Sus scrofa: one gene and its partners. The protein of the gene in region 2 binds, or shares a complex with, the protein of the main gene of each other region. Links are inferred from orthologs where the notes say so. Each region holds a gene or a part of one and is shown on either strand. Other genes may lie near its edges.

Region 1 (3,647 bases), on a different chromosome or scaffold from region 2:
TGGCTCAAAATTAACATCCAACTAAAAAAGGAAACTTACTAAAATCATAAACTCGTCTTCTACTTTAATTTTTATTTCACAAGATTTAGGTTTCACAGCAGGAGAGCAGCTCAATCATTTCTGAGCACTAAATAAAGCCTCTAATCAAGGTAGGCATCATTAAGAAACAATTCTCTTCGAGAAAGGAATTGCAAATGGAAGTAAAATTAATGTGATAATTCTCTCCTGGGTGTTGGCTGGCTTGTTCTATGAATGTTATTTTCACACTCCAGTCCAGTGCCAGCAAGGTCTGCAGTAAATGTCAAGAGTCATAATTACCACGTGTACAGCACAGTGTTGCATGTTGCCATTATCTGAACTTAAGCAAAAGTATGAGGCCAGAAACTCCTTATTTCTTCACTGTTTTTCTTACTCTCCAACCACTAAGTGGGAAAAAGTGGTGTGACCTAGACAACATACATCTTATTTCTCATCAAAGCTAAGACACAATACCTTTGAGTTACATGATCTCAAAATATACACACCTTTTATTTTTTATTTATTTATTTATTGTCTTTTTAGGGCAGCAGGTGCAGCATTTGGAAGTACCCAGGCTAGGGGTCAAATCAGAACTGCAGCTGCCAGCCTACGACACAGCAACACCAGATCCAAGCCTCTTCTGCGACCTACACTGCAGCTCACAGACCGACTGATCCCACTGAGCAATGCCAGGGATGAATGCTGGTTCTCATGGATACTAGTTGGGTTCAACACCAATGAGCTACAAGAGAAACTCCAAAATACATCCACCTTAAAAAAAAAAAAAAAACATTTTTGAAGTTCCCGTAATGGCGCAGCAGAAACGAATCTGACTAGGAACCATGAGGTTTCAGGTACAATCCCTGGCCTCGCGCAGTAGGTTAAGGAGCCGGTGTTGCTGTGAGCTGTGGCGTATGTAGGTCGCAGATGCGGCTCGGATCCCTAGTTGCTGTGGCTCTGGAGTAGGCCGGCAGCTACACCTCTGATTAGACCCCTAGCCTGGGAACCTCCATATGCCTCGGGTACAGCCCTAAAAAAGACAAAAGACAAAAACAACCACCACCACCACCACTTTTCAGTCAAACTTGTTAAGAACCAACTAATCCTCCTTTGCATGCGCTATCCAGAATGTAAAAGTACTATCAAATCCAGTACTATCAGAGACTATTTCAAATACCAGCTCATTCTATAGGCTAATGCTCCCACTTAGAGGGCAGCTCCCCTTCCTCCGTGGTATAAACATGACCCAGAAGAAACAAAATTGAGAAGGGAATTCAGCTTACAAGAACACACTTTTGCCCCTCCTCTGCTAACCTGTACTCACATAACTTCAGCCTGTGCTTACGAAAGTTAGCTACTTGCTTACATTCAAGTCACCATATCTAAAAGGCTCTGACACCTGGGATAGTGTGCCCCATCTGTATAAGCTTTTATGCTAAACCACTAGCTCTGCATAACTGAGAAAGAAAGGGAGGGTGGGCAAGAGGAAGAGAAGAGCTAAGAGACAAAGCTGTGAGTGCTCAAGACAGGAATCAATACAATATAATGGCTGGCCAGAGGAGATGGGTTGCCAAGGAGAACCATTAACCAGCGAAAGGCAAAAATCTGCTCCTCAGGAGGAACTGGCTACTTGTCTATAAAATGCTTTAAACAAAGACCAAGTCAACCTGCTGTTCCTTGGAATGAATACTTCTGGGTATCTCTCCATACCTGCACACTTCACTTACCCTCCTGAATTATTTAATGAATGCAATCAATAAATGGTAAGAAACTCCATGCCCTCTAAAGTAAAAATATTCATGGTTTTTTAAGAAAATTCCATTTAAGTATTTTGACTGAGACCACTTATCATACTCAAATCTGTGTCAGCCCATTTTGTCGTAGATAATGATAAACAGAAAAAAAAGAAACAGATTAGAATGTAGATGAGAAAAAATATTTTAGGTTAATTCCTGTGAATTCAGGTGGTGTTATTAAAGTCGTCAAAGTATGGTTTAGTAAATCAATCAGAACATTCCGTTATACAGTTTTAAGCTTACTCATTCCCAAACAGGTTTTCCATGTAAAAGAGAAAACCCAACATTAAATGCCAAAATCAGTACTTAACGGTTCGACATCTACAACAACATCACAATGCTGCCGCTTGTATTTGGCATTGCTACAAAGCTCTAAGAGGTCTGAAAGGGAGACCCTGTAGCAGATCTCTTCTTTCTACATTTTGCACATTATGTACCTCCAAAGCCAAGGCTGTCTTGTCGTAGGCATTAGGGACTCGCTTCTGGATTACCCTGGCATAAATGGGCCCATTCTGGAGGTTAGGGAGCGGAGTGTTGACGCTGGGTTGGGCATAGGGCCCGGGCTCCGGCCCACCCAATGGCTGTGGGTGGGAACCCTCCTGGTTACCTCCAATCAGAGCCGATACTGAGGCGGAGGCAGGTCTATACTTCTCGACGTAAGGGACTGGGATCATCCCCCTCTTGCCTTCGCTGTCCTCCGCATTCCACCACTGCTCTTCAGGCTTATCCCGGATTCTCAGGATGTCTCCTTTCTTAAAGGGAAGATCTTCCTCATCATTCCCATTAAAGTCAAAGAGGGCTCGGACATACTCTGCCTCTTCCTGCCTGAGAATCACTCCACTACCCTGCCTGGATCTGGAAACTGGTTCTATCAACGTTGTAGTGTCCAAATAGTGTATTTTGTAGAATTCCAGTAAAGCAGGCAATGAATCAAATTCTTGATCTCCTATTCGGAGTCTGGAGGGGCTCACCCCTAGAAAAAAAACAGAGCAGGGCATTATTTAGATATACCAGGGATGAAGCGCAGATTTTAAGCATTTCCCACACACATTAATTCAGTCATAAAAAATAAATCTAAATAACCCCTTCTCCTCATAGCAAACTAAAATACTTTGTAGCTCAAACTTTCCCTGGGAAGAAAGATGGCTGTGTCTGTCTGAGGCAGAAAAGGAACAGAAGGCTATGACAGACCAGTCACACCACTCAGAAGCTCTCGTACTGGATCAGACACAGCAGCATGGCCTTTTTGTTCCTTCTCCCAAAATGTTCTGTTGTCATTCCACTTACAAAGTACTAAGGGTTCAAGGCTGTGTTACACTCCTCTTCTGAACCTTGGAAATGTAGCAAACTCCTCTTTTCCATGGGTCCCAGCAAGTGTGCCAGGAAAAGGTGGGGAGAACGTCATCGACGCTAGGTTCATACATTCATCTCTTCACATCTAGACTGGGCAATTCCTAATAAGCAAAAGTTTTGAGGCTATCTTTTCAATCTACAATTACTAATCTCAACTTCATTTCTTTGACAGCTAAAAAAACACTAGAAACTAAAAAGCAAACTGCTTAAACATCAGTTCCCACGATCTTCACTTAAATAAAACATAGAAACTGGATTGTTCCCTTAGAAACAAAAAGTCTTGGAGTTCCCGTCATGCCGTGAGCTGTGGTGTAGGTCACAGATGTGGCTCAGATCCTGTGTTGCTATGGCTGTGGGGTAGGCCGGAGGCTACAGCTCCAATTCGACTTCTAGCCTGGGAACCTCTGTATGCCTCGGCCCTAAAAAGACAAAAGACAAACAAACAAACAGGTCCTGACAAAAGGTAAAACAAGGATGCTC
Region 2 (3,747 bases):
AAAAAAAAAAAACTTGAAGTCACAAAAAAGTCAAGATGTGGGCTTGGTGGGCTTTAAGAATCTCGCTGATATTTAAGCTAGGCTGTAACACCTGCCTCAGATTCCCAAAAATTTAAATTTAACTGAGTACAGATGTTGTTATTATGTGAAAACATTTTAAGAACGTGCTATCTTTTGGGTCTTGGAAGAAATTACTGAGGAAGAGCTCATTTTTAATACACAGTTAATTACCAGTCTCTTATCACCTTGCCTCAATCTAAAAAAATTAAGACTCAAGAAATATGGCAGCAGGTAAGTGTTCCATTTTTATCTTCTTAAAAAGATACATTATGGCAAATAAATATATTTTAGAAGATCCAAGCTCCACACCTATCCAATCATCTACCAACACCTACACACTACAGAAAGCTGATGTAAACCTACCACTTTTAAGTGTTTCTTAACAAGCAATCTGTTCTCTCTATACAAACGAGAAACAATAGGAAAGCGCTTGTTCCAACATGAACTATCTTTACAACAATGCATTACACAACTGGATCTCATTTGCTTTACAATGCTAACATTTTTCTGTATTACACTACCCTGCAGTCAATGAAGGATATACAATTTAGGATGTACCTAACATTCTGTGATCCCAAGTCTGAAAATATTACTCACTTAAGTTTATTTGGTTAAAAATCCAAAACATTTTTAATTACAAAATTAAACTGACTACCAAGCAAAGATTAAGCGTAAATAGAACTGATTCTCTTTTCACACACCCTTACCACAAAAAGTGCACATGAGTTGACTTAGGTACATATTCCGAATCGGTAATTCATATGGGAGAAGTTAAACAGTCTGTGAATTGCATCTTAGACCAAAGAAATGCTTCCACAAATAAATTCATCTCATTCGGGTACAGTCAAAGGGATCTTTAAAGTTACTGCCTACGCAAGCGGCTGCAGAAGGTGTTGTCTTACGTTTTATTCTCTGGCACAAGTTGATCCGGAGATTTTAAACCCTCCTGGCTTTCAGATGCATATGAGACGGCCAGGATTTCAAAAGATCATCTCTGATGCGTTGGGAAACAGGTTGGCTAGGCCAATGGGTGACCCAACCAAGGCTACAAAATGCTGTCTTAATTTAGTGAGTCCCTGACTTGTAGGAGTTAAAAACTCTCACCCCTTATATTGCGATGACGTAATCTTCCACACTGCATTTCTCTGGGATTAAAGGGGAGGAAAAACACAAACGAACAAAGAAATTTTCCCCCTAATGAGAGGAACTGGGCAAAAGGCTGAACGACAGTTTCGGGAGGTGGTTAGGTAACTCCCTGAAAGGGAAGCTTCAGCTGAAAACGCAGGGAGAGAGTTGGAGAAGCAAACGGAAACGGCATCAGGAACTCGACCTAAGGCAGGAATAAAGGAGACCGGAGAAGCGGCGACCAGGCCCACCCAGTGGGACCAGGCGTCCAGCTGCGGGACCGCGGAGGGAGGCGCGTCGCAGGCAAACCCGGGGCGGTCAGCTAGCCGCCCGCTCCCGGCCGCCACTTCCCGGCCGCGCTCGCAATCCGCTCCCCTCCCCCCCGCCCGCCGCAAAATGTCTGCGGCCGCGCCGGGCGAAGCAGGAAGTCGAGGCCGGGGCGCGGGGGCAGACCCGGCCTGGGAGCCCGGGCCACCGCCACCCCGGGCAGCCCGGGCGCCCGCGAGCGTCTCCGCAGCTCCCGGCGCCCGGGCCCGCCGTCCGCCTCAGGGGTCCGCAGGGCCGGGGGGAGGGGAGCCGGGCGGCCGGGATGGGTGTGACCCCTTCCTTCCGCCGCTGCCGGGTGACAGCACGGCCGCGCCCTCGGCCCGGCACCCCACAGCAGGGCCGCACACCTCTCGGCCGACGTGCGCCCCCCGCCTTGCCCGCCGCGACTTCCTCGCCTCCGTCCTCGGACAGAACCCGGACCCGCGTTCGCCCGAACGGCGCTGCGCGAGCCGGGCACCCCCCCCCCCCCCACACACACACACACTCCACGCCCCGCGCTCCCAAGCTTCCCAGGAACCCAGACGCGGGGCGTCCCCGTGGACTGGGAAAGGCCGGGCGCGGCGCAGCGGAAACGGGACGGTGGGGAACCCGCTCCCGCGGGGAGCCTAGGACCCCGCACTCACCTCAGCTCCTCAGCCGGGGCGTTGGCAGCAATGCGCGGGGTCTCCTCAGCTGCGGACAGGGGCACGCGCCTGACGTCAGCACGCAGACGACGCAGCGTTGGGAGCCCGCGGAAGTGGGAGGGATCCGAGGCGAAAAGAGGCCGAGCTGTTCCGGGCGGGGCTTGAATTCATCCGCTCCCCAGGTTCAGGCAGCCTAGCGCGCACGCGCCAGGCGGTCCTGCTTGCTCTTTCGTGTGTTGCGCTTGTAACTGTTTCTCCAGTGGCTGTCATATATTTGTAATAATGCTATAAATGGTCGTTTGCAAAGCACCACAACTAACATTTCTTTTGATCTTTGCACTTTTGCAAAGTATCATCATCCTGATTTTGCAAAGAAGACAGCGGCTACTCGAAAAGGGGCATGACTTGTGACCACAATGCAAGTGGATGGCCCTCTGACTCCCCCGGCCCGTATGGCTTGAGAGCTGAGTGCTCGCTTCACTGCTTCCACCCTACTGTCTCTCGTTCCAGCGACATCCGTCATCAATTGGTTTAGAGACTTCCTCCCCACAACAAGGCCTCAGATTCACAATTTCCCCTGGCTGCCTCCTCTTCACCAGTCCTTCCGTTGGCCCTCTGCCTTCAAATGTCACTGCCTTCCTGATCATCCTATCCTCACAGCACCTGTTTGTCATCCGTCTTCCTTGCCAGTGTGCACACTTCAGAATAGGAGCCTTCTCGGTCTTTTCTCAGATGGTGCCTAGTGTTAGAGGAAAATAGCTTATCTTAAATAATAGTTCTTTATTTTTTTCTTTTTAGGGCTGCACCCCTGGCCTATGGAGGTTCCTAGGCTAGGGGTCAAATTGAAGCTGTAGCTGCTGGCCTACACCACAGCCATAGCAACCCGGGATCCAAGCCTTGTCTGCAACTTACACCACAGCTTAAGGCAACGCCAGATCCTTAGCCCACTGAGCAAGGCCAGGGATAGAACCTGCATCCTCATGGATGGATACTACTCAGATTAGTTTCCTCTGAGCTACGAGGGGAACTACAATAATTCATTTATTGATGACTGCCACAGTTATTTGGCCAAGAAAGACATCTATTTACAATATTTTTAATAGTCATATTTCCCTTCGGACTTTTTTTTTATTGTTTCGAATGTTTCATTTTATTTTATTTTATTTTTTGGTCTTTTTTTTTTTTTTTTTGCCATTTTTTGGGCCGCTCCCACCGCATGTGGAGGTTCCCAGGCTAGGGATCTAATTGGAGCTGTAACCGCCAGCCTACACCAGAGCCACAGCAACGCAGGATCCGAGCGGCATCTGCGACCTATACCACAGCTCACGGCAACGCCGGATCCTTAACCCACTGAGCAAGGCCAGGGATCGAACCCACAACCTCGTGGTTCCTAGTCAGATTCGTTAACCACTGAGCCACAACGGGAACTCCTGGACTTTTTTAATTACACAAGAACTACGTTTTAGAGTGATTACTATAGGTATGATGCTAACATACTATAGGTATGATGCTAACAAATTTGCATCTAAACATAGTAGTTCATGTAAAATTCACAACCACCCTATGGACTAAGAACCATTACCCTCACTATTGATGCAAGCTCAGAGGTGTT
Region 3 (3,747 bases), on a different chromosome or scaffold from region 2:
TCCTTCAGCCTTGCCCACAACTATTCCAGAAGTCTTTTTGCACACAGTGGGTGCTTGATGAAGTGACAAAAAAATAGAAAAAAGAAAAAAAAAAAAAGGCAGGGAATGAGATACACGGAGAACTGGATTATAGTCCTGACTGATTTGCAAAGATGCTGGGCAGTCCTTTTCCTATCTAGGCTTAAATTTCCTCATCTATCTCATCTATAGAAGTGAAGACTCCTCCCAGAAATATAATTCTCCAGCATTCTAAAATACTTGTGCTGAAGGGAACAACAGGATTAGAAGGGACAGCTGGGAGCTAAAGTATGTGTGAGGGAGGGAGAGGGACACTCTAAAAGGGAGACAAACTTGAACTCCACCTCTTCCAGTAACTCTTCTATTTTGTTAGTTCTTCCAGAACTGACCCCTCCCCCACCCTATACGCTCCTTTTCCAGCATAACTAATCACAGTTGCTTCCACCTCCCAGCCAGCCTGGCCTCTCTCACTACCCTCCAGCCCACAGCTGTTGCCCCTTGTGAGGCCAGAAGCTGAGCTCCCATTCAGTGGGAAGGGGGAGAGAAGCTAGTGCAGGGAACTTCTAACATAGAGTCACGGAAATGAAGTATCCTGGCTGCCTAAGACTCCTGTCACAGTCCTGCTTCACTCTGCAAAATATGTCTTACTCTCAAATTAACGTTTCTCTTCTCAGGAGATAAAATATGTACCTTTCCTAAATCCTTCAAGACTCACTTTAGGCAGAGGTTTTACCTTTGGGAAGTCCTGGAGTTCTCTGGAATTCTGATGAACTGTCTGGACTCATTCCCCAAAAATCAGCATACTCATGAAATCTTGCATGAAATTTTAAGGGGTTCACAGACCCTCTTAGAATCACTGTTTAAGAATCCCTGACCTGGAGTTCCCACTGTGGCGCAGTGGGTTAAGAACCTCACTGCAGGGGTTTGGATCGCTGTGAAGTTCTATCCCGGGTGGGAGCAGTTGGTTCAAGGATCTGGTGTTGCCACAGCACAGGTCAGCTACTGCTGGGATTCAATCCCTGGCCCATGGAACTTCCATGTGCTGCGGGTGTGACCATTAAAAACAAACAAACAGCCTTGACCTACTCAAAATTACATCTGGCACAGAGTAGATGCTCAGTCATTTGCTGAATTACTGAAGGAATCAATTTGTATCCTAAGAGGAAAAGGGAAGCAACCACGATGAACTGGATACAAATTATCTTTTCACATCAGCACCAGAGAAGTACAGTTCCAGAAATGTGAAGACCAGAAAAAATAAGAGTCATACAGTAAAGTCAAGATTTTAATCCATGTCTATCTAAGGTGGTCTCTTTGTGCAGGTCAATCCTTCAATACTTCTCTTAAGTGACTGTCATTCATATGATTCTCAAAGTTCTACAAAAGGGCAAAGTAAAGCTTCTCTAAACTCCTCCAAGGAGAACTGAAATAACTTGAAATCATATTCTCTGGAATTGTGATAGGCCTCCTAGTTAGGGCTCCAGAATTGCAAAAATGCAAACCCCACAATACAAAGCAAGCCTTTCAACTACAATCACGTTTGCATAAAGCCTCATGGTTCACAAAAACCGGATTGGGTGCTACAATCCTGTCTCACAGGTTAAGAAAGAGACATGAAAGCGTGGCCTAATAAGTAGCAAGGTGGAACACTTCGCCCGAATTTCTTGTTTTAGCACTTCCCCAGATCGGACGAGGGAGACTTCCCCTTCCCATGAGTTTACTCGATGACAGCGAGCGAGAGGCCAGGAAGAAGCCAGCAAAAGAAGCAAAGTCCTCTCGCTGCAGACCCGCGAGTGGGGCAGAATCCCGGCAGCGGGAAGGCCAGGTTCCCAGGCCCCATTCCACCCCTGCTCCCTTCCTCGGATCCGCTTGGATGCTCCCCATCCGGACCCCATCCCTTCAAATGACCTGGCCAGTCCTTTTCCTTCCCGCCCCGCCCCCAACCTCCCAGGCAGAACTTGCACCCCGCAGCTCACCGTGGTCGGGTACCGCTCCCTCTGCCACGCCTGTCAAAGATCGGCAAACATCCGGCTCCGAGGTGGAACGGGAACCGCCCCCTCCCTGTCTCTTCACTCCCAACCACTTCCGCCACACCTCCAACCCACTTCCGACCCGCTGCCCGGTCCAAACATGGCCTTTCCAGGATCCCCGCCCACTTCCTGTACGTGCTGCTCACGTGCCTCCTTGGCTGCGGTGGAGTAGAACCGTCCGATTCGTCCCTCCCAAAAGGAGGCCCTGGAACAGTTAGTTCCGATGTTCCGGGTACTCGAATCTCTGGTGGACCTCCGGAATCCTTAGCTCGTATTCTTCTCGGACAGAGATTCGCCTCACCAGAATTCCCAAACTCCTGGTCTTGTGCACCAGTTAAGGCTGACTCTTACGATTCGTTCCCGAGAGGAAATTTGGGTGTCAATGACTGTTTCCGGGAGGAGCCTAGAAGGTGACACTCACTTCCGGCGGAGGGAGGCTTTTCGATCCGGGATGGAGGAGGCGGAGGAGCTTCTCTCGGCGAAGGGAAGACTGCAGTTCGGTGAGCGGCCTGCGGTGTCTCCGACCCTCGGCTCAGATATTCCTGACGTTCTCTGGTCAACTCTTATCCCCCGACCCTTTTCCTCCCGAGCCTGGCATCCTCCTCCGGTGCCCTCAAAATCTCGGGGGCTTCTTTTAAGAGCCCTCGAAGTCCCTCAGGTCTTTTCGGGGCCCCTTAGAGTCTTTATATATCTCTCAGACTCTTGAGGCCTAGCTGGACCTAGGGTTTTCTCCCTCATCTTTCCCCACCCCACTACCTCTTGGGCGGCTTCCTCACTTCTTCACTGTCTTCCTCTCTCGCTGCAGTCCCCGGCCCACGCCTGGACCCGGACTCAGGATGGAGCCCTTCCGGAGAAGGCTGTGCACAGGGACCCAAAGATTTCCCAGCCAGACCGACCCGAGCCATCCTCGCTCTAAAGAGCCTCCCCCGGGGCTTGGCCCTAGGTCCCTCACTGACCGAGGAACAGCGCTTGGGGGTCTGGTGTGTCGGGGAACCCTTGCAGCCGGGACTGCTCTGGGGACCACTGGAAGAGGAGTCTGTCTCTAAGCAGAAGGGTGATGCAGCGGAAAGAGAGCAAAAAGAGGTATTAAGGGATCGGGCATCTCCCTTCCATGATTGAAAATTTAGTTCAGACATTTCTTGTTAGAAGATGCAGAGTATTTAAAGGGATAGGAGATGGTTTGGCCCCCTTCTGTCCAGGACTGTCTTTTCTCCTTCCTTGCAGTAATTAAGAGGTGCAAAAAATTGTTAAAAGCTGAATTAGTAGAGTGTTAGCAGTTACAAAAGTCAAGAACAAAGGTTTTGGGAATTAAAAAGCCCCTGGGATCAAATCTCAGCTTTGTCACTTAGCTGGTCAGATGGCATGTAAAATAAAGGAATGGCTCTTTATTTTAATCCTCCAGGATTATTTGGAGGGAAAGGTGAAACAGCACAGGTAAAAGATTTCATTGCATAACTCCTGAAAAAATTTTAAATTTGAGGTACCTCTTACTTCTGTTTGGTACTCATTGAAAGGAAGTAATATGTTCAATTCAGTAATTTTTCACACTTTGGGAGGGAGGTGTGGGGACAATTTTTTTTTTTTTGGCCTTTACTGAAGGAAAATTCAGACAGTGCAGTCTACAGAGAGGCAGAACCAGAGACCATTAACCTTCCAGGGGGCTTCATCTTAGGTCTGTGTTGGGAGCAATTTCATCAGG

What was found.
Region 1: CDC42 (region 2) and CRK share a complex: the UniProt entries of both Homo sapiens proteins name them as parts of the collagen stimulated complex. The link is inferred for Sus scrofa from reciprocal best matches to the Homo sapiens genes CDC42 and CRK.
Region 3: the proteins of CDC42 (region 2) and ARHGAP1 are in contact, whole or in part, in a crystal structure (PDB 1GRN), measured with the Homo sapiens proteins. The link is inferred for Sus scrofa from reciprocal best matches to the Homo sapiens genes CDC42 and ARHGAP1. Residues at the interface, in NP_001034891.1 of Homo sapiens: Asp11, Gly12, Ala13, Tyr32, Val33, Pro34, Val36, Phe37, Gly60, Gln61, Glu62, Asp63, Tyr64, Arg66, Leu67, Leu70, Ser88, Glu91, Asn92, Glu95, Lys96, Asn132; in NP_004299.1 of Homo sapiens: Glu278, Gly279, Phe281, Arg282, Arg283, Ser284, Ala285, Asn286, Thr287, Gln288, Asn309, Glu310, Val316, Lys319, Arg323, Asn385, Lys386, Met387, Asn391, Val394, Val395, Pro398, Asn399, Trp402, Ala403, Lys404, Ala406, Ala407, Thr409, Leu410.

Annotation. Positions count from the first base shown.
Region 1 is NC_010454.4:47,671,605-47,675,251, forward strand, and holds part of CRK (adapter molecule crk), read right to left. Parts: intron 2,788-3,647; coding exon 2,252-2,787; intron 1-2,251. UniProt on the Homo sapiens protein: Involved in cell branching and adhesion mediated by BCAR1-CRK-RAPGEF1 signaling and activation of RAP1.
Region 2 is NC_010448.4:80,033,539-80,037,285, reverse strand, and holds the start of CDC42 (cell division control protein 42 homolog), read right to left. Parts: upstream 2,252-3,747; 5' UTR 2,136-2,251; intron 1-2,135. UniProt on the Homo sapiens protein: Plasma membrane-associated small GTPase which cycles between an active GTP-bound and an inactive GDP-bound state. In active state binds to a variety of effector proteins to regulate cellular responses. Involved in epithelial cell polarization processes.
Region 3 is NC_010444.4:15,832,991-15,836,737, reverse strand, and holds the start of ARHGAP1 (rho GTPase-activating protein 1), read right to left. Parts: upstream 2,331-3,747; 5' UTR 2,199-2,330; exon of another isoform or gene 1,995-2,198; intron 1-1,994. Other genes in the region: ZNF408 (zinc finger protein 408), read left to right, coding at 2,431-2,548, 2,854-3,131. UniProt on the Homo sapiens protein: GTPase activator for the Rho, Rac and Cdc42 proteins, converting them to the putatively inactive GDP-bound state. Cdc42 seems to be the preferred substrate.